4 linked regions of the Caenorhabditis elegans genome follow. The protein of the gene in region 2 purifies or fractionates together with the protein of the main gene of each other region. This does not show direct contact. Each region holds a gene or a part of one and is shown on either strand. Other genes may lie near its edges.

Region 1 (8,455 bases), on a different chromosome or scaffold from region 2:
TGTCTTTCATTTTAAAAATTCATTTAAAAACAAAAATAAAATTTCTGGGCATTTAGTTCGAGTGATCATCTTTTTTGAGTTTTCATTTTTGAGATATTCAGAAAAGTTGTAGGTCATTTGAATTTATTGTCTTTCATTTTAAAAATTCATTTAAAAACAAAAATAAAATTTCTGGGCATTTAGTTCGAGTGATCATCTTTTTTGAGTTTTCATTTTTGAGATATTCAGAAAAGTTGTAGGTCATTTGAATTTATTGTCTTTCATTTTAAAAATTCATTTAAAAACAAAAATAAAATTTCTGGGCATTTAGTTCGAGTGATCATCTTTTTTGAGTTTTCATTTTTGAGATATTCAGAAAAGTTGTAGGTCATTTGAATCAAATGTCTTTCATTTTTAAAACTTATAAACACACAGTGAAACTGAAAATAATTTTGTTTTTGAAAAGGATTATTTGGAAAGGTGACAAAACTGTTTTGAAAACAATTAATTTTGGCTCAGACGGGTTTAGTTTGCAGGAACTTTGTTAGTTTTCCACTACTGTCTATTCATATAATGAACTGAACAAAAAATCAAAAATGAAAAAGACAATCGATAAAAGGAGCCAGTTTTTATTGAGGAGAATTCCGGATGTTCATATATTTTCTTCCTACTTTCTAATCCATAATTTTTTTGTGCAATTCTACTAAATTCCCGTGATTTCAACTCGCCACATTCTTTGTACCATATATGATGATTGCTTCGTTCACATTACAAAAATCCCCTTTTTTCAATATTTATTCGCCTGGTTTCCCCCGTTTTTCTAGTTGCATCATGAGTTGAAAAATCCTTTCAATTTTTTTTTGAAAATCTGAATGAATTGTGATGAATATGTACAAGCTAATTTTTTATGCAAAACATTTTAAAAAAAACCAAATTAAATCCAAATATCCGATGTACAATCTCCACCGGGATAACGCATCTCGTGAGCCAAATAGGGACCTCCTTCAATTTTTCCAAAATCGATCAAAAAGTCTCGATTTATTTCCATTTTTCCAGATTCTGGATCAATGTTGACTTGAACCATTGTGGCGCCAGATCTGAAAAATGACAGGGTTGCAAACGCGCTCCATTGAGAAAGTAGGACGAATTTGGTGTTTTTTTTTTGAAATTATCATGAATTATTAAGCGGACGAAAAGAAACATTACCAAGTCTCGACGTGACTATTTTTTCAACGGAAAACGTGTGTGCGCCTTTAAAGAGTAGTGTAATTTCAAACTTTCGGTGCTGCAGCTATTGAACTGTTTTATCGATTTCTCATAGTTGTTCTTTTTTTTAAAAATTATTTAGACTAGAAAAACAAAGAAAAACATGAATTCGTGATAAAATCAACTCAGCAAGTGAGAGAGAATCGCTGCAAATATGAAAGATTTTTGAAACGGTGATTTTTTTTCTAAACAATAATTTCACCATGAGCGTATTTTTAGTGTAAACTACAAAATTCGAGATAATTTGTTTCGTAAGGACAAAGGTTCAATGAATAAAATGAATAAAAAAGAATTACATTTCGCGAATAGCCCCACAAGTGAGCGGAAATAGTTTGCTCAAAATATACTACATTTATGAAACGGTAACTTTTTTCTCAGAAATAATTCTAAATTTTTTCATAAGTAGCACTCACTTGACATGTTCTGGATAGAATTGATCATCCCATTTCTTGTATAAAGAAGTTGTAACATAAAGTCTCTTTCCATCCAATGACAACTGTAACATCTGTGGACCTCCTTCAATTTTCCGTCCCTTCACATAAAGTGCTTCAATTGGTTTTTCACCTTCTAGAACTTTTACATTTGATTCCGTATGTACACTTCCTCCAATATAAACTTGAGAATTCAATTTCACCTTCAATGGATCAGAAATGTCATATTGACGAATATCTCCATGAAGCCAACACGAGACATACAGGAAACGATCATCCATTGAGATAAGGATATCAGTTATAAGAGCTGGCATTTCTGGAAGAGCCCATCCACTTACTTTTTTAGAAGGAATGAAGGCAACGAGAGTAGCTGCATGGGTTGTTGAGTTCTGGAATTATTTGAAAAATTGAATGTTTCTCATTCAACGTATCACTGAAGATTTGTTTTCAGTAGTATTCAACAAACATTTGGCAACTATTTTCATACTGACTATCAGAATTTTGAGATTTTACAAGAAAAAAAATACAAAGTGTGTTAAAAGAACACCTCGAGAACAGGAAAGAAGCAACTTTTCTGAAAAACTTTATTTTCAAAAAGAGGTTATCGCGAACTGTCGAAATAAGTGTAGGTATATGCGCTGCCAAAATTATATTAACTTTTTGAAACAGTAAATTTTATGTTTTTTTGTAATTTTGCCTGAAAAGTTGGTGGCCATTCACAAAAAATAAATTTTTTGATCGAGCTTTTTTGTTTCAAGGGCACACTGCTGAAGTGGATATAATTTTATTTAAAACGTAATTTTTGTTTTCAAAAGTTTACACGAAAATCTACTGTTTCAACAAACTCATTTAACATCTCGCTAGAAAATTGTTTTCAATTGAACTGTGGCGTGACTTATCGACTGTTCTAAAAGAGCTTTAAAAATCATGAGACATTTAATGTTTCGATTGGCTGATTAAATGTTTCAAGTTGAACAAGGTGTCAATTTTTTAAAATTATATGTTTCAGATGATCTAGAAAACCCGGTGAGATTTCTAATTGTCACTCGAACTTGATTTCCAGTGAGACTATACTTTGCACAGAAAGGAATTTTTGTTTCGCAGCAATGCAGCAGAAGCAGAGATAATTTTACTTAAATCTGAAATCGGTTTTTTTTTCAAAAATTTAATAAAAAAGTCTATAACTCATTAAACATCTTACTTGAAAATTATTTGATTGCATTGACATTGCTAGAAAAACTAACAAAATCATAAAATTTTTAATGTTTCAATTAGCTGATTAAACGTTTTGGTTTGAATAAAGTTTCACTGAGACTATAATGTCCGCGCTTTAAAATTATTTTTTAGTGTCGAAAAAAAAATATTTTTTCTTTCTTTAATTGACCGAGTTTTCTTGATTCACAGTCACGCAGAAAAAATCGATTTGAACTTTTTGTCAAAACTAAATGCATGCTGCTTTTTAAAAAAAGGTTCATCAAAAATCTACTGTTTCACTAACCTAATTTTAAAAAACTCGGAAAAATACGTTTTTAGTATTTGCATCATTGTTAAACGTTTAATGAATCTATAAACTGATTTAAAAATAAATTATTAAAAACACTCAAAGATATTTTTTAAAAATTATTATATGTTTCAAGTAGTCTATAAATACTGAAACTATTTTGAATTAATATTGGTTCTTCCAAATGAAAAAAAAGAAAAATAGCAGTTTGGTCTACACAACTTTCTCTGAATTTCAAATTCAAATTATGCCCTAATCATGTATGCCAAAGCATTAAAGGATTTGAAATGTACGAAAGCGCTCTGATTTTCTCAAAATGTCCACATTTTTCTCGAAAGTTAGTCATTTTGCCAAAGAACTTGCTCAGAAAACTTCGGGAATGAAAAAAAATCAATTGAATAGAACGGAAGTTTTGATAACAACGTATTGAAACAATTTATTTATTTTTAAACTTGAAAGTTTCTAATGCAATGTTTCGGTGATCCCAGAAAGTTACACATCAGCTTACAACACTGCTATTCAATTACTGACAACGAAAATATCAGTACTATTGATAAATTGTCAACTCCCCCTACGAAGATCATTTATATTTGATTTCATACGTTTTTTTGGATTAGCAAATGAAATAAACTTCCAATAAGATACAATATGATAACCTATTGAAACAGTTTTCTAAAAGTTTTCTAAAAATTCTTTTCAATATTACTCACCTCCTCAACAGGATGAATTCTAAAAACCGGATCTATTTCAATAGATGACAGGAATACCAACAGAACTAAACTAAAAACAACAGAGTGTGTTATGAGGACAAATTGAAACTGAAAAGTTTTTTGAATGTTTCAATGTTTTCGTAAAATCACGGCATTGATCTCCAAAACTGTTTAACCATTTTCAATTGACTGAAACTTTTGAAAAATCAAACACTCTACTGAAGAGTTTTCATGGAATAAAATTTGAGTACTCTGGAAGAAGCAACAGTTTTGGAAACTTTGCTACCTCCCAATCAAGGATGTGCGGCAGTTCTCAAAATTTTCCGAGCTCGGCAAATTAGTTTTACAATAATTTTAATCTTGATTCTATTCTACGGTTTTAACATATTAATCTCAGTTTCTAAACAAATAATAACTTATTGAAACATTTCAATTTTTCTGAAAATTCTATTGAATATTACTCACCTCCTCAACAGGATGAATTCTAAAAATTCCTGATCCAAGAGCACATCCCACAAAAGCGTGCTCACTGGTTGGCTCATGGAGGAATCGAACTTCAAGTGGAAGTGCTCCAAGTGGCTGTGGTAGATCAATTGTTTGAAGATATTTCTTAGAGTCCCATTCGAAAATATGAACACTGTTTCCGTAGAGACCCTCTCCGACGTGAGCTGGAAAATTTCATGTTTTAAAAAAATTTGTAACTTTTTGGTTTTTAGTGATGCTGATGGCTCATGCCGCAAGGAATAATTTTAATTTTTGGTAAAATGAAACAAGAGGTGTTGAAACAGTGATTTTTTAAAAGTATTTTCAGTTTTCCCACCTGGATTAAATCCCTTTTTAATATGATTCGGTGATCCCCATTCCGTAGAAATCATCACATTTCTCCTTGGCTGGTACCAGAAATCATAGTTAAACGGAACAGTCTTCTCGTCAGCTGGCCATGTTCCTTTCGGCTCAAATGTCTTTCCATCCAACAACAAAAAGTTACCAGATGGAGTTCCATTAGCTTCTCCCAAAGTACTAATCATAATATTTCCATCGGCAAGACAATGTGAAGTATGTGGAAATGAAAGGTTTAGAGAATGAAGTTTTGATGGTTCAATTGTATGTTCAAGATAGATTTTACGCTCATTTTCTACGTTGATAATGTAGATACGGTCAGAGTTCAGGCAAGGAACGATCAAATGGGATCTGAAATTATTTAGAAATTATTCTACTGTTTTGGTTTGTTAATGAAAGTTCTCCGATCTAAAAATTTATTGATCTTTCAGTTGACTGAAATGTGAAGTTTGTAAATTCGAATTAAAAAACTGTTTCAAGAAATTGGTTCAAGTCTAACTAAATTTATAAAAATGATCTTCTCGTGAATGTCGCTCTGATCTGATTTTATTACAAAGCTTTTGCATCCGTATCAAGGGTCGTGGAAAAATTTAGGTTTATCAGTTTTTTCTTGAGAAAATCTAAAAATCAGAAAAACAAACAAGGGAGAATCTATAGATTTATCAAATATATGATGATTTTGTTTGAAGAATAAAAAAAAACATGTTATTGTGACCACTTTTTAAAAAAAAAAAGTCGGAAAACCACACTTCAAAAATGAAAATTTAATTAAAAAAATTTTTAAACAAAACTTGATGTTTCGAACAGTTGATTTAATTTTGCCACCTGTACTAATAGAGTAATAGTATCATCCTAAAACAATAAATATTTTAACTAACCTCTTCTCAGTTGGTTTGTCATGACAAGAAGAGCACGCATTCCATCCAGTATGATGGACTTCATCACCAATATGTGGCACATCAACTCGGCTGATCACCTGAAAATATTAATTTTACTGGAAAATGTTATGATTGATCGATCTCTAAATGCTAAAACTACGAGTGGATATCAATATTTTGAAACCGATAATTTTTTCAATTAAATAATAATTTTTAATTTTTACTATACAATCATATATCGTGCAAATCGATTTAAAACTCTTAAGCTTGAGATAACCTTGAAATCAGAGAGATCAAATCAAAGTTTCCTGATTTATTTTTGGCTGATGCAACAGAGATGAAAATTGCAAAATTGCAATTTTATTCCGGTAATTTGAACAATTTTTCTGATATAGAAACAGTTATTTCAAGCTTTATGGACGTGATCTACAAAAGACAATCAAAAAATTAGTTATTCCTAAAACTCAATACGTCTTTTTGAAACAGTATTTTTTTCCTCCAAACAAGAAAAAAAATCAACTTTACAAATAAAATTTACCTGACAAAAAGTGTCACTCTCTGGATTCACATCAACTGTAAAAATGGCATCAGGACCATCAGCTGCATTTGGAGCAGTCACAAATAAAACTTCTTCTCGTGGTCCTTTTATAGCATCAGCTGGAGATGCATATCCTGGACCACCATGACATTTTAAACCACAGTTTGGGGACATTTTGGTTTTTGGGATTTTTGATCTGCAAATATTGACTTTTTTTTAAAATCAAACAATATAATCAAATCAGTAGTATGGATTAAAAAGTTACATACATACAATTTTTTGCTGAATTAAACTATAGCAAAATTAAATTTTTTTCAAGTTTGACACTATTTTTGTAGCTTTGAAAACAAGTTGCACGAAAACTTTTGGGCAAACATTTTTAGCTTCAGAAAAAATTACTTTTTTTGTCACAGCTCTAAAAAGGGGAATGTAAAAATTAAAAAAAAAATACAGCGAAAATTTGTAAGTTAAAAAACTAACGCGGATGTAGCAAAACCAAAAAAAACTGAAAAATGTGAAACTTATAAACACACAGTGAAACTGAAAATAATTTTGTTTTTGAAAAGGATTATTTGGAAAGGTGACAAAACTGTTTTGAAAACAATTAATTTTGGCTCAGACGGGTTTAGTTTGCAGGAACTTTGTCAGTTTTCCACTACTCTCTATTTATATAACGAACTGAACACAAAAATCAAAAATGAAAAAGACAATCGACAACAGAAGGGGATGACATTGATAAGGTATCACTAGCTGTTCTATGTCTTATCTCTAGCAGTCATCAAGATGATTGTTCAATGAACCAACTAGAAATCTACTAGAAACACGTAGGAAATTATTCTGATACAAACTACAAGTACCGTTTCTGGTTGAGATTAATTTTTGAATTTAGAGATGAATTTGTGAACATTGTGTGACTGATTCAAAGTGCACAGATATTTTGATAACATTTTTTTTTAATTTTGGAAAACCGATCTGACTACAAAACGTGAATTTATTTGAAATTGAAAATAGTGAGTTTTTTCGTTTTTAATTTATCTTCTGATACTAGGCTTAACAGAAAAATAATAAACAATTATTCAGGGTTGTGCGCGCGACAAATTCCAAAATTTGAAGGACAAAATTATTGATGAAGATGGGATCAACTGTAAATTATTGAAAATCTCCATGAGGATTCCTTGAAACAGTAAAAAAATGTATCGCGAATATAGCAAATTTTTAGAAAAACTCAGCTTGGGTTAATTAAATTTGCAAATTTCTTATTACGTTTTCCACTAATAAAAAGGTTTAAACAACAATTTTATTTATTTTTTATTTATTTTAGGTGCTGCAAACGGCAAACGGCAAATGTCACTCGCTAAAAAAAATTGGTCGACGATGAAAAAAAAACTTTCGGCGTCTTTCAGCATGCGAAATTTTTTTTATTTTTATTTTTTTTTTATTATTGGAAATATAAACAAATTTGAATATTAAGTTGTTCATATTTCCTCATGAGAACAGTCATTCAAATCCACCTTAAGCATAAAAATCTCCACAAATATATGGGGAAATTACAGTTAATATTGCTACATGTTAATACTGTTACAATACTAATAGAAAACTCATACCAATAGTAAAATGAGGCATGTTATCAATCTTTCATTTGAATTTTATTGGATTTTCACATTGCTTCTCATTGTATTATATAAAATTTATTGAAACGCCTAATGAAGTTTTAGTGAAATAGTTAAACATTTTTTTGCAAACTTTAAGCAAACGTAAGCCGTTAATAGCTTAACTGTTAACTGGTGCAATTTTGCTTAAATTTGCAGTTTTGAAGTTTTTCTACAATCGGTAAATTTATTCACATTTCAAGTTAGTCTCGATTTGAAATGCAAGTTGAGCGCTTTTAATATGTTTTTTTCACATAAAATTTAATATTGGGGTTTTTTTCAATTTTTCCGATTTTTTAAAAACAATCAATTTTCAAAATTTCTAAGTCAAAATTTCTAATCAAGACAAATTTGGTTACAATTTTTTAAAACATTTTTTGCAAAAATTTTGGCACGGTGAAGTACGGTGTTTCAAAAAAAAGTATACAAAACAGTGAAGCAAGCAAAAGTCTGTGAATTAGACAGAAATGAAAATTTAAAAATACATAAAACTGAAGCGCAACGGTGGGAAATTTGTAAACCGCCTAATAAAAATGTATTGAAACACTGCAACATACAGTGCGTCCAACTTCTATAGCACCCCCCTCTATTTTGAGTGTTTGAGGCTTTCTGGAAATTATTTTGAAAAAGTGTGAATGTAGTTCGATTACAAATGTTAAAAAA
Region 2 (5,742 bases):
GAAACGGCTATTTACACGAGACAAACGGTCAAGATTATTGTGAGAATGTTCATTATTTGGAAAAAACGTATAAAAATGTTTGTATGTGAAAAATGCAACCAAAAATTTCATTTTTTCATAATTTTAATTGACAGGAAAATCGAAGGTAGTCTTTTTTCATCCATACTGTTCAGAATTGCCAGGTCTGTTAGAAAACACTAGGCAGAGTAGACTAGTTTTTACGAATGTTTTTAAAATAGTTTGATAAATGAAATATAAAGACTCCTTTTGATTTTACCGTCATCAAAAATTTTGAAAAAAAAACAGCTTCTGGACAAATATTGCAAATATTAAAAATAATTATTTTTTAGAAACTCGTGCATGTGGCACTACGATTTTCTAACATTTTTTATGATTATGGAAAATGGAAAACAAAATCTCAGTTTTTGCCACTATTTTGGAATTCATCGATCAAAATAAATTCCATCGAATTTTATGGTCTTCTTTTATTCCAACTATTACAATTCAAACATTGTAGAATTTGAATACGCTACATTCTCAAAGATTGGCAAATTCTCACCAGTTGCCACTTTTTGAAATAAAAATTTTTTAAATCAAACACAAAGTCGCTAAATATCTAATATAATATTTTTTGTAAGTGAAAGTTAGTAGTTTTCAACAAAACATTGTTTGAAAACTGATATCGTTCTTTATAGTTGTCTCTAAAAAATTTAAAAAATAGAAAAAAGTATAAAGTTTTCAACTTTTATTAAAAGAAGGTGTTTTGAATCAACAAACATGAAATGCAATCGAATAGCCATTTGAACTAACAACGACTTTCTCATATACATAAAAAAAATTATTCTAGATGATCATATGAGTATTTGACATGGTGAAGTGTAGCAGGAAGCATGATTTATAAACCGGGACACGAGCGCTTTTTGAGGGGGTGGAAGGAAGTTGGGAGGGGGATTGAAGAGAAGAAATTAAAAAAATACCATTTGAAATCGAATCAATAAATGTGTCTATAAAACTAGTTGTAGTTTTAGTGAAGGGGAATAAGGAGGCGAATGATCTAATCAACGCCGAGCTGACTTGTATACGTATTCTGATATGAACTCAGAAAATCGTTAGCTTAGCTCTTCGGAAAAGCTCATATAAGAAATCCAACTTCATAAGTTGTTCCCAGTTGCGTAGAGGAAAAAAAAACAAATTGAGGGGGAAGAGAAAACTCCGAGATTGTTGAACAGAACCCATCGTTAGTATTAAAAATGCAGTATTGAAGGAAGGATATTGAAAAGGTTTTGATGCAGAAGTGGAGTATTATATTGTGTATTAAATGTCGCGCATCCATCCGTCTTTGATAATTCGGCCGTACTGAAATAAAAAATTATTAGTTGAAATTTATTTTCAATAGGAGATAGCTGTCTTAAACAAGCTTACCTGAATGTCATTAATTGTGTTGTAGAATTTTTGCATAACTCCAAATTTGCTGGACATGGTTGGGATGTGAAGCTCCTCGTACTCATCGGTAACCTTGTTGTGGTAGAGAATCTTTCCGACTGGTGAAACAACGCAAGCAGTTCCTGATCCGAACATCTCGTAGAGTCTCTTCTCTGACAAAGCTTTCTTGACTTCTTCCATGTTCAGTGTGCGTTCAGTGACCTTGTACTCTCCCCATTCTCTCCCAAGCTCAAGAAGTGAGTCTCTGGTGACTCCTGGAAGGATGAGTCCACGATGAAGTGGTGGCGTGATCAATTCCATGTCGCCTTCCTCGTTCTTCCAGAACAAGAAAATGTTCATTGTTCCGACCTCTGTAAGATCTTCGTTCTCTCCATAAAGCCACAAAACTTGTTGGCAGTTTTTGCTGGCGGCCTCCTTTCCGACCCAGATTGTTGGGGCGTAGTTGCATCCCATCTTGTATGCGCCAACTCCTCCTGGGAAAGCACGGATGAAACGAGAATCAGCGAGCAAGCTGACTGGCTGGAATCCTGTAGAGTAGTAGGCTCCGACTGGTCCAGTGATAACGAACATCTTAGCTTCGGTGGCACATCCCACTCCAAGTGTTGGCTGAAAACAGTTGGTTTTACAGAGGAATTGTTTTTTTTGTGAATCAATTTACATCTGTTCCGATAAGTGTTGGACGCAAATACAATGAGCATACATCTGAATTTGGCACCCATTCTTGATCCAAACGAAGTAATTCGGTAAGTACATTGATCATCTCCTCTGAGTCGAAATCCTGCAATTTTTTGTTCATCTGATGTTTTTTTTTCATTCAGTAGTTTTCATGCGCTCAAGACGCTCAAACTAATTACTTCCCTCTCACATGCTTTCAGGAAAAATTGCACAAAAAGATGACTATCACTTAATTAGCTTTTCTCTTTTCTGAGAGCTTCTCCCTAGTTTTTTTCTTGTTTTTTGATATTTTTTCGTATATTTTACAACGCTAAAGTCAATTACCGGAAGTGCAGCACGGAGAGCAGTTCTCTTCATACGAGCCATGTTCATTTCTGGACGGAACATGCGAATCTTGTTGTCAATACCACGGTAGGCCTTCATTCCTTCGAAAAGCTCACTGGCGTAATGAAGAACCTGGAAGCAAAGCAAATGGATTAAAATTGTTAATTAGTTCCTAGTTGTTTTTTGTGGTTGTTTGATGTAACAAAACACAAAATCGTCGGTGATCTTTAGCTTCAAGATTGATAATTTCCAACAAGTGTCATGCTGTCATGTCAATCTCATTTTTTGGCTTCTGGTCGCTGAGAAAAGCTCAGATTCAACTGATTTTTTTCTAGTTTCGAGTTTTGTCCCCTACAAAAGTTTCAAAAGTTTCACATTTCTTCGTCTTTCTATCCCATATCAGATTTCACTGATCACAGAGAAGAGGTCACAGAGGTGAAAAAGACAGGTGACGGTGATTACATCATCTTTGAAAATCTTCAAAAGTTATCGCCCGCACAACGGATAGAAATGTGTGGCAGACCGGCGGGTAACAAAAAAAATGCAAAGCGAACTGCCACGTGCCGTTTATTAAAATGATTGACATTATTTTATGACCTTTTCTTGAATTTTTAATTTTTTTGTTCATGCTAATGCTTATCATTCAATAACGCTTATCACTAAAAAATCACACTTCAGGAACTAGTGCAAATATTCAATATTACCGTTGACCACTTATGGCGCCATTTTAAATTGATGGACAGTAACTTACTTTTGCTCCGGGATGAATTTTGAGCTCTCCAATTGGCTCAATCTTTGGATGATGCCATCCTCTCTCGGCATCCCAATCGCATGTCATCATGTAATCAGCGTATGTGTGTCCGAATTTAAGCTTTGTTGGGTCCAATGGCTTGGTCTTCAGTTGTGTTGGACCGGCGAGTTGAATTTCAAGGTCTCTGTGCTAAAAGCATTAACAGTTTAATCAATATTCAGACTATAAAACTAACATAGAAAGTCTTCTTTCTATCGTATTCCTTGTGAATTTCCTCTCTTGGTACTGTCTCCAATCTGGCTGCGGAGGCCATAAGCCTTGATCCGACAAGGTTGAAGGTGCGTGGAGCAACTCGCGACAGGATTGCTGGCATTATTGTGTGTATTTCTGGAACAGAAAATATTATTAAAGTTGATTCAGCGACCGTGGGAAATGAGAAAAGTGGACGATTGATAGCATGGAAATGATAATGATACGGGTGTTAATAAGAAACAAGATTAGTAAAGAAGGCCCAGGCAGGAAGTTGAGGCTTCACGTGTGGAAAAGGGGACAGGACACAATGTCCAGCTGCTATGCCGATGGAGGCAGTACATTTGGACTGGCGAACTGGCGCCATATATCAATAGAGTGTGAAGAAGTAGGAGGAGTAGAAAAAGGGGGCTGTGTGGCGGTGGTTTGTAGGCGCAAGGGACGTTGCCTTAGTAGAAAACATCTATCGCTCTCTATGTTTCTCGGTGCTTCTCGTCTATCTGAGCGATGGACGCTACGAGTTCAACAAATATTGAAAGAGGAGCAGAGAAATGAAGAAGCGGGGTAGAAAGCAGCAAATGGGCCCCCGTGGTGGCGGGCGCACGTGGGGAGAGCAGCGCGAACAAATGATGAGATGTTGTGAGGAGTGTGGCCGATGGGAGGGTAACGGCGGGGCAGTGTTGAGGGGCGGGAAGGCGTCGGCGACCGACCGATCGACCGCGGCCTCCCGTCAGGACGAGACCCCGCCCATCTCTTCCTGATCGGAAGACGAAAGCTTTTGACCCGGAGAAAGGCAAAAACAATTGGCAAAAAAAAGATAGTTGGGCTCTAGTCGCTACACGTCATTGGATTCTAGAGTTTCAGACCCACCTACTGGCTTAGACAAGAAAGTGTTGCAGGAAAAGAAGACTTCGTGTTTAATACGTAAAGAGTGTTATGTCTAAAAGTTGAAGGCTTTTTCACTGTACATTCTACTTCATCATTTCAAACTTTTTGTTTTTGAGCCTCGAAAGTATTGTAGAAAGTTTACGCATTTTTCAAAATTTCCTGCCTGAAACGTATCTCTCATCTGTCTTTTGAAAAATTTATATGACTCGGTAAATGAGAAAACTGACCCCTTTTTCACAGAACAAAAAAGTCTGAACCCCTTTCCTCTGACAAAAAGCATCAGATAGAAAGTGGAAAGACAAAACGAGGCTCTTGAAAACCTTGAGGTTTGTTAAAGCTCAAACAAAACCTTTCCGTCATCACAGTTTTAGCAGACCTGTGCTCGTAAAAAAACTTAGATCAAACAAACTGTGGCCACGTGAGCCATTTTTTTCTATTTGGACAGTTGAAGCTCTCAGCTGCTAAATGGGCTGATGAAGAAAGTAGCGAAAACTACAAATCTCGTAACAATTATATTTTAGGCCTCTAACCAAATATCTAATGTTCTTACAAGAGATAAGATTTTGTGGTAGTTATTTTGTGCTACAGAATCTTATCAAATGCTCGAACTATCTGAATTGAGTAGAGATGATTTGGCAGTAATGGAGTTCGATGAGTTTTAAATAAAAATTGAATCTGGCTTTCGAAATTCCTTATCAATGTCCTATTTTGTGATTAATAAACATCAAAGTCGGTCACTTCCGAGTTCAAAACCACTTTTTCGTCCCGTAAGTTTGTATTTTTAGTACCCGCAGGAAATGACGAGTTTGAAGACAATATCACCACGAGGATGACTGCACAATTCGACCGCAACCACGAGCTCCGCGTGGTTGCTAGTCAATGGTTGATGATCACACGAGATGGCTAGACGAATAACAAAACGAAACAGAGACCGTGAGAATGTTGTCCTTTCAATGCTGGGTGGCAGTGTGATGTGATAGCAGTTAAATGTTTCAACACCGTAATTCAGAGCAATGGTCACAACCAAACATCTTGCGGGAAAAGAGATTACATCATGTATGGTAACATCCTTGCAAGTAGAAGAGGCGAGAATTGGGGAGAGTGATAAATTTCACATGAAAAAAAAAACAGTTTTTCTTGTAGAAAAAGGTGAGAGATATGAAATTGTTCTGGTAGAAAAAAGGCAATTGTTGAAAAGTTTTTATATCAGTACTTTTGATCATAAGTTAAATACAACTTACACAATCTATCAAAATCTAAAAGTCTAATTTATTGAATTATTGGTTGTTCTTTGCTGTGGAATACTGTTAGAGACAACACAGAAAATTTATATTAAAAAAGCTTTATCTTCCAAAACCAACTTTTTCCCAATGTCAATCTTTGATAATAAAAGTCACTTGGAACACGGAAAT
Region 3 (3,693 bases), on a different chromosome or scaffold from region 2:
AGAAAAAAAAAGACTAACTAGGCTATTAAAAAGCTATAATTTTAAATTAAAAAGAGGAAAAATTAACAAAAAAATAAGGAAAAATCCGAAAAATCGATCTATTTCTTGGCAAGATGTCCATGAGTTTTTGGATTCGTAGCGGCCATTTCTTCGTCGATTTCTTCGAGGAATGTCTCCTGTTTCACAGAATACATTGTATACCAGTAGATTCCGATAACAACACCCAAAAGTACGGCAAATGAGATGTGATTCTTGTAATTTTTCGCGAAAATCTCCTTGACTCGCTCTTGATTCACCTGGAAATTGGGAAAGAATTAAGGAAAATTGAGGAAAAAATTAATTTTAAAAAAACCTTCTCAAACTGCTTGGCGAACCGTTTCTGTGGTCGTGGTAGATCCTCAATATCGATTGTTTCCAGCATCTCATTGTCCTTCTTTTTCTGGAAAAATTTAGCTTTTTTTATAGATTTTGTATCCAAAAAAAAAAAAAACACTTTTTTTGCAAATTTTCGGCTTTTCCGGATAAATTCACGGTTTTCAATCATTTTCCGTTAACAAATCCTTGGAAAATGGTATATTATAGATTATTAGGCTAATTTCAGAGTTTTAGCTGTTTTTTTCGGGGATCAAGTCTTTTTTTCAGTTGTAGAACTTGAAATATTCGCTGAAACTTCAAAACTGGCCTGGAAATCGATTATTTAATATTTTGAAAATTTTTTTGAAGGAAAAAAAGTCTGAAATTGCAAAAAAAACTGTCTGAATATTACAACAAAAAAAATTGAAAAAAAAAACACGAAAATTTAAAAATTAATTGAAAAATAATTTTTTAAGCCTAGAAAAATAACCTCTAAACTCTACAACTTAAATATAAACTAAATTAAATCTAAATTTATCTCCAAACTAAAGGAAAACAAAACCAGATGCGAAGCTGGCAGAGCAAAATTGTTTAGATTATATTCCAAACTTTACTTTTTTTTGTTGATTTTTTGAACTAAAATCGAATCTTGGATCGATGAATTTCACGAATTTTAGGCTTTTCCAGACGAAAAAACACTCCAAAAAATTTAAAAAAACTCACTTCAATTTGTGAGAACTTCGTCGTCTCCGTCGGCAATTTTTCCTTTGTGGCAGCTAGACGGCTCGTGCTGACAAGCCTTCGGAATGCCAGTGTCCGGCAATTGAGCACAGCGAGCATCTGATATTTATTTATTTTTTTTTTCGATTAAATTGCATTATTGTTGTCAATATCACAAGGTGTTCAAATATCAAGGGAAAATGTTTGAAGCAGCGGCATGAGATTTATATTGATTTTCATATGAAATGGGGAAATGTGTACTGAAAACTTTATGAAAAGGATAAAAAGAAAGAGGAGAAATGGATGAGTGAATGGCATTTTATATCAGAAGACACGATCTTTAGAGGAGAAAAGTGTAGGGAAAAGGTGAAAGTATTCGGTTTTTTTCATGAATTTCATAATTCCTATAATTTTCTGACAGAAAAATCAATAATTTTCTTTCACTTCCGCGTATCGAACGTGAAAACGAAACAAATTCGGGGGCATGTTTGCTTTAGAAGTCTCGCACTCGTGTGAAATGAGCTTCGGACAGAAAATCACTGATTTAATGTAAATATTCAAACATTTTTAAAAATAAATTGACTAAATTCATTGAATAATTGGAAAAAAAATTAAAAAAATCAGTACAAATCGAGGAAATCCGATGGAAAAGCAGGACGAAAAAGCATTTCATTGTTTTTGTTTCCCTGGCGCTACTTCCAAGAGGAGTACACACGAGGTGGACGAGAAAACCCTCGCGGCCGCAGTTGCCCGCGAACTTTTGAGCGTTTGAACTCTCAAACTTTTTTATCAGTTTTCAGTGACAATGAATTCAAAATCACTCTTTTCTCGAATTATTCGAAATTATTCGAAGCCTTTTCCTTTTAAGTGGATTATATTTACAAAATACACCACTAATTAAGACATTTTTCAGCAATACGATGTCGAGAAACGTGGAAATCAAGGCAAAAGTTCAAAATCTCGATGAGACGGTTCGCCGCGCCGTGGAAATTTCCGGAAAACAGCCGACTATCTTGAAGTGAGTTGAATCAGAATAGTTTTATTGGAAATCAATCATAAAAATGTTTTATTATAGGCAGCATGACATCTTTTACGAGTCACCGAATGGCCGCCTGAAGATGAGAAGCGTTGAGGAGAACGGAGTGGTAAATAATAGTTTTCTTTTTTACTTTAAAATTAAAATTTTGATTTTTCAGGCCCACACAGAGCTTATTTGGTACGATAGATCTGACGTGGCTGGCCCGAAGCTCAGTAATTTCAACAAATTCGACGTTCCATCTGAAGTTCTTGATGCTCTGAAGCTCTCCCTCCAATCCTCAATGGGAGTCAAAGGAGAGGTGAAAAAGACGAGAACTCTGGTGCTCCACGGTCAAACACGAATTCATATTGATCGCGTCGATGGGCTCGGTGATTTTATGGAGTTGGAAGTGTGCCTGTCGCCTGAAGAGACTCCAGAGCACGGAGAGAAGATAGCTCATGAGATTCGGGAGCTGCTCGCCGTGCCAGAGACCGATTTGCTCACTGGTGCCTATATGGATATGTTGAAGGCTTGAAGGCTTCAATTATTTGTTAAATTTGAATTTTTTTTTTTTTCAATAGCTCTCGGTTATATGTTGTTATTGCGGATACATAAAAGTTTATGCATCAGAAAGTTTTATATTTAATCTTGCAGGATCATAATCGCTAATCTCCACAACAACAAAAAACAATTACTTCAAAAATCTGACATCATTTTTTGTATTTTTCTCCTTCCTTTTATCGAAAACCTTATCAATAGAAATGTCATTTCAGCTTTTCGATTTTATTTTATTTTTTTTCTCTCTCTCTCTGTCTCTCTCTGTCGTTTTCCTAAAATTTCGTTGAAACAGAGAGGCTCAGACAATGAGAAAAACGCTTCACTCACTCGATTAATGTGCGAATTTGGAAGCCGGAGAGTGGAAAAAGAACGGAAACAAATAATGAATAACTGATGCCGATGTTGATTATGACTTTTTGAAAAGAAATAAAGAGGAAATTTTAGTTCAGAGATATTTTTTCATCAATTCTCACTATTTTTATGTTATTTTAACTAGTTTTACCCTAAATAATTGTGTGCAGCTTTGATTCACGTTCCCGCGATTTCTAATTTTCCAATTATCTGTGTACTGTATCCCCAAAAGTACGCGAATACAACCAATGCCCCCAATATTACGACAGAATGACACTGAAATTGTCTGAAAAACCAAGCTTGAATCTGAATTTCTACGTTTAAAATGCTAAAATTTGAGAATTCTGTGTTTTAGATATAAAATTGGTGGTTTTTCTTGAATTCCAATACAAAAATCGAATTTCCCGAAACTTTTTTGTTTTAAAACATTTTTGTAGGGTACTGTACTCTTTAAAGGCGCACACCTTTGAGAGGAGGTTACGGTTCCCGAAACTTAAAGGCGCAGACCCACAGAATAAGTTCGAAAAATTTACGAGCCTGGAAAAGAAATTTTAAATTTTTTTTCAATAAATTCGCACATTTTCAACTCGCAAAAAACATTTCATTTGGAAAAAAAACCTAAATAACACGAAGAGTAGTAAAATTTCTTTAAAAAGAGCAAAAAAGTGTCATAAATCAGTCAAATATGTGAG
Region 4 (4,382 bases), 1.1 Mb from region 2:
TGTGAGGAAATATGGAATGTCGTTTGATCTCAAATGGGAATAGATAATGCATTGTTTCGTATTATGGAAAAATTACTGAAACACAACTGTACTTAAATTTTAATGTTTCTTTTCTTGGTGAACTTTTCAGTTCTAGTCAGCTCCCCGAACCTCCCGGTAATTTTGAAATGTATGTTTCCAGTGAACTTGTGATATTGATGATAATTGGATTTTATAACAGTAGTTTGTGTATTTGTGTTTTATTAATTTTTGAGATTGGAATAAATAATTTGTAAATAAACATTTTCTCCACTATTACATTTTTGGATGAAATCTTAACTAAAAGAGGGATTCAAAAACAATTTGAAAATAGCATTTCGATGCTTGAAATGTGTAAAATTTTGCGCGGTAGTTCACTGTATTAATATTTTACAAGACTAAAAAAATCCATTAATCACTTTTTGCATATTACTTTACAGTCCAATTAGAAGAAAAGCTCAATACCAACTAATGAATAACCTAATGGAACATACTTTTTTCAAGAGTTTGTTGTATACTGTGAAGTTACAGCGTAGACATTGTTGAAGCAGCCAGACGGATGACATAGGATTGATCACTGAAAAATGACAGATTATCAAAAGACCAGTTTTTAGAACCAGCTTCATCCCAATCCCTAGTCGACTGATCTTTACCTCTCTTGCGTTTCGACTGATTCAGGTCAGAAATAGAAATGTCGTTGATGGGAACTTTTTTGAGAATACTCAATGGACAAATCGATGACGGATTTTAGGATCACAACGACGAGGGATTCAGAGACTTGCGAGGACAGCAGAGAACGGACAGACTAACATGGAAGGACATTTTGAAACGTTTTATAAATAGGACGGTTGATTTAAAAACAACAATTTATTGGACCAACTTGAGTGATAGTACAGATTGCAAGAAGTTGGTTTTTTAAATCATAAACGTGCTACATTGACGCACTGAGAAGAGACTGAGGGGAAAACAAAGGAGATGAAAGATCTATAGGGAGTGAAGGGGAGATCTTAAATAGAAAATACACCGGAAAATCAGAAGTTGACCCGAGCACGAAGACACGTTGATGAGAGAGGAGTTGGGAAGAAGAAAGGGCGTCGACGATCACTGTAAAAAGTTAATTAATATTAGTTCTGATTTTAACCCATAACCGCAAATATTTCTCATATTCACGAACTTACCTTATTGCGGTTGATCTCAGTGAGATAAAACGGAACTTTGTCACCAGTCCAAGACGTATTGTTTTCCACAAGATGAAGAAGACGCTCGTCCGTGATTTTCACAAAATCTGAAAAAGATATAATTAGTATTTTGATGTACCTAACACCTAGTTTCAACTTACCATCGATACGACGAGAAGTCGAGCTTTGAGAACGGGGACGTGGAACAATCGACTCTGATGAAATGATCCGCGTTCCGTCAATGCATTTCGACAAGATCTCTTTCAGCTCCAACTTGAGCTCCGGCGAAAAACGAACGTTGTTCACCACAATCACCGTGGCTTGGGTCTGGATCTCATTAATACGATCCACCAGATATGCTTTTAATGAACGTGTCTCAACGTCGTTTAAATTGAAAAATAGTTCCTGGATGCTCTCAATTTCATTTAAGCACATCAAAGTGCACTGTGTATTTTTATATTGTCTTTGAAAAAATGACTTGGGTACAGCTTGGGCAAGAGTTGGGAGCAGCCTCATAAAAAAAGTCGTGGGCTGCTTGTTCTCTCAAGGCATCGCCCAAGGCTTACCATAGTTTTGTCTACTTCTTCTTATTCCTTCTAATGTTTTTTGAATCTGCATTTCTCTCTTGGTCTACATATGATGTTGGTAATGTATAGTAGAAGACCACGTGTGTCTGCACAATTACACTATCTCTAGTGTTCTGCGTCTGCAATATACAACAACAAAACCATTTCGTCGACATACACCGTCCAATCTTATCAGTTAGTTCGACATCATTCCGTCTTTGACCCTTTTTGTTTATTTTTCAACTAGTCATTATCATCAGTTATTCTTTCTGAGAATTTACAAAATTATTTTCTGCTTGTAGACATGTCCAACCAAAAGCCAGTTCTGTATTCTTATTGGAGATCATCGTGCTCATGGAGAGTTCGCATCGGTTGGTATTTTAATTATATCAATTTTAACTAGCAAAAATGTTATTTTCAGCGCTTGCTTTGAAAAACGTGGACTACGAATACAAAACTGTCGACTTGCTGTCCGAAGAGGCTAAGGTAAGAGAAAATCAAGCGGTTCTTTAAATTATTTTAAAATTTAGAGCAAACTGAAAGAAATCAACCCAGCTGCAAAAGTACCAACATTTGTTGTGGATGGTCAAGTAATTACTGAAAGTCTTGCGATTATTGAGTATTTGGAAGAAACGCATCCAGACGTTCCACTTTTGCCAAAAGATCCAATCAAGAGAGCTCACGCTAGAGCTATTTCTCTTTTGGTAAGTTTTACGTATTTAGTTGGTTTTTTTCTTAACTTTATACTGCTATTGTTTTACAAAAACTGTAACAATTATGTTTTGAGGTTTACAGGTTGCTTCTGGAATTCAACCTCTTCACAATTTGAAGGTTCTTCAACTTTTGAATAAAAAAGAAGCAGGATTCGGAGGACAGGTTTAATTTCAGAATCTTCAATGTATGTTTTCAATTTTTAAAATTTCAGTTTGCCAAACAGTTTGTTGTCGAAGGTCTCACTGCTCTTGAAATTCTTCTAAAGCAACATTCTGGGAAGTATGCTGTCGGAGATGACGTCACGATTGCGGATCTCTCCATCCCGCCACTTATCTACTCAGCTAACCGGTATGATTATAGGGAGGGTCAGGGAATTTTGGACATAGATAACTTTTTGAGAAAATTTATTATGTTTTAGTAATCTATCCAGAATTTCAATGTATTAGTTTGACATTTTGCGTATTCAAAACCTCGAAAATTTGAACACCTTTTGGGTTACCCTCAAACAACACTGACCAATTTTTCATAGACAGTTACTGAATCATCTTAGCAAGTGATTTAAACGAAAACACATTCCTATTGAAAACAACATCCACTTGTGTGGCAACAACCTTTTTATCGGATTCCTGATTCAAACAAAATGTATTAGTCATTCAACAAACATGAATTGGAAGCGATGAGCGTTTAGGATGAGACATGAGAGATTCACAGATAACCATCAGAATAACCTCCCTTCCAAATCGTTCCGATCGCAATCAAACCGTCATTTCAGATTCAACCTCGATTTGTCGCCATACCCAACAGTGAATCGTATCAATGAGACTCTTGCTGATATCCCCGCCTTTATTGCCGCTCATCCTGATAATCAACCAGATACCGGACTCAATGCTTAGATTCTTATGAATGATTGCGTTATTGGATTGGACATACAAGAGTTAACTATTTGAGAATTAAAAAAAAATGTTTCTTTGTCTCTTAAATTAGCACAAAAGTAATAATAAATTTACAACAGAAAATGTCCGCGATATCCTAAAGCAAGTTGCTTTTTTTAACTTTGTAAACTAACTTTTCTCGTTTTCATACTGAGTGTTTTTTTTTCAAATAAATTAATTTCTTAAAAATATTTTGAACTTTATTCAAACGAAATATCCAATGGAAAATTTTTTAGTATGCGAGTTCCACTGATAACTTTTTTGCGTTCAAAAAAAATGTCCTGCTTTGAAGACAGAATTTTTGATGTTTACCTATTTAGAAGTATGTTTCGAAATTCAAGTTAAACAGTTGCAGACCGGAAGCCTCCAAAAGTCATTTTTTTGTCCTCCTCTTCATGACCAAACTCAATCCCTGGGGATTAGCATCTGAAAACCCAATCGGCAATGTTGTGTCATGGAAACTTTTAGAGAACTTTCGGAAGACTTCCGTGCAAAGAGAACGTGTTTTTACGGGCGAGGTTGGCATAGTCATAGTACTAGTTGGTTGCCACCCACAACACAAGCCGGCCTTTCGATTCATCAAAGTATCCGTTTTTTTCACTCTTCTCCTCCCGCATTCTCCCCCTCTTTTCTTTGTCAGTGTGGTCTGCAAAGTTCAATTTCCAACTTTTCTCATTTTCTCTATCTCTGGCTCGCTCTTCGCAGCTCCTTTTCTGCTTTTTTTGTCTTTATGCAACCAGAATCAAGAGGAAAAGAGTGACGAATTAGGTTTAATAAAGGGTGATGTTTGACAACTTTGTCAAAGTGTATACCTCCCGTTGTCAAGGCATTTTTAAGTTACGCCTGCACTGATAAAAATGCTATATATAAAAGAAAACACAACACATTTATTGATTTGAACATCAAATTATTTTGGAATCATTTTGTCAAGTGAAGTTACAAATTATTTGTACAATAAATTTCAAGTGTGCAAT

What was found.
Region 1: the proteins of bcat-1 (region 2) and semo-1 fractionate together in Caenorhabditis elegans (co-fractionation; one large-scale study listed by BioGRID). This does not show direct contact.
Region 3: the proteins of bcat-1 (region 2) and F35D11.4 fractionate together in Caenorhabditis elegans (co-fractionation; one large-scale study listed by BioGRID). This does not show direct contact.
Region 4: the proteins of bcat-1 (region 2) and gst-42 fractionate together in Caenorhabditis elegans (co-fractionation; one large-scale study listed by BioGRID). This does not show direct contact.

The regions. Positions count from the first base shown.
Region 1 is NC_003282.8:14,049,084-14,057,538, reverse strand, and holds semo-1 (Methanethiol oxidase), read right to left. Parts: upstream 6,340-8,455; 5' UTR 6,318-6,339; coding exon 6,144-6,317; intron 6,045-6,143; exon of another isoform or gene 6,024-6,044; intron 5,746-6,023; exon of another isoform or gene 5,725-5,745; intron 5,704-5,724; coding exon 5,606-5,703; intron 5,591-5,605; exon of another isoform or gene 5,570-5,590; intron 5,544-5,569; exon of another isoform or gene 5,522-5,543; intron 5,265-5,521; exon of another isoform or gene 5,244-5,264; intron 5,172-5,243; exon of another isoform or gene 5,147-5,171; intron 5,079-5,146; coding exon 4,708-5,078; intron 4,631-4,707; exon of another isoform or gene 4,610-4,630; intron 4,556-4,609; coding exon 4,353-4,555; exon of another isoform or gene 3,888-4,352; intron 3,803-3,887; exon of another isoform or gene 3,778-3,802; intron 3,715-3,777; exon of another isoform or gene 3,694-3,714; intron 3,568-3,693; exon of another isoform or gene 3,547-3,567; intron 3,371-3,546; exon of another isoform or gene 3,349-3,370; intron 3,231-3,348; exon of another isoform or gene 3,210-3,230; intron 3,045-3,209; exon of another isoform or gene 3,024-3,044; intron 3,007-3,023; exon of another isoform or gene 2,986-3,006; intron 2,744-2,985; exon of another isoform or gene 2,723-2,743; and 20 more.
Region 2 is NC_003284.9:12,875,318-12,881,059, reverse strand, and holds bcat-1 (Branched-chain-amino-acid aminotransferase, cytosolic), read right to left. Parts: upstream 3,581-5,742; 5' UTR 3,567-3,580; coding exon 3,429-3,566; intron 3,383-3,428; coding exon 3,194-3,382; intron 2,971-3,193; exon of another isoform or gene 2,838-2,970; intron 2,575-2,837; coding exon 2,443-2,574; intron 2,222-2,442; coding exon 2,102-2,221; intron 2,050-2,101; coding exon 1,423-2,049; intron 1,357-1,422; coding exon 1,315-1,356; 3' UTR 732-1,314; downstream 1-731. UniProt on the Caenorhabditis elegans protein: Catalyzes the first reaction in the catabolism of the essential branched chain amino acids leucine, isoleucine, and valine.
Region 3 is NC_003280.10:4,601,440-4,605,132, forward strand, and holds F35D11.4 (CYTH domain-containing protein), read left to right. Parts: upstream 1-1,987; 5' UTR 1,988-1,994; coding exon 1,995-2,092; intron 2,093-2,149; coding exon 2,150-2,219; intron 2,220-2,270; coding exon 2,271-2,627; 3' UTR 2,628-2,722; downstream 2,723-3,693. Other genes in the region: coa-3 (Cytochrome c oxidase assembly factor 3), read right to left, coding at 99-296, 353-439, 1,078-1,194.
Region 4 is NC_003284.9:11,725,481-11,729,862, reverse strand, and holds gst-42 (putative maleylacetoacetate isomerase), read left to right. Parts: upstream 1-1,926; 5' UTR 1,927-2,066; coding exon 2,067-2,133; intron 2,134-2,183; coding exon 2,184-2,248; intron 2,249-2,292; coding exon 2,293-2,466; intron 2,467-2,557; coding exon 2,558-2,638; intron 2,639-2,687; coding exon 2,688-2,824; intron 2,825-3,248; coding exon 3,249-3,369; 3' UTR 3,370-3,599; downstream 3,600-4,382. Other genes in the region: D1053.2 (Histone-lysine N-methyltransferase, H3 lysine-79 specific), read right to left, coding at 1,120-1,122, 1,197-1,303, 1,358-1,712.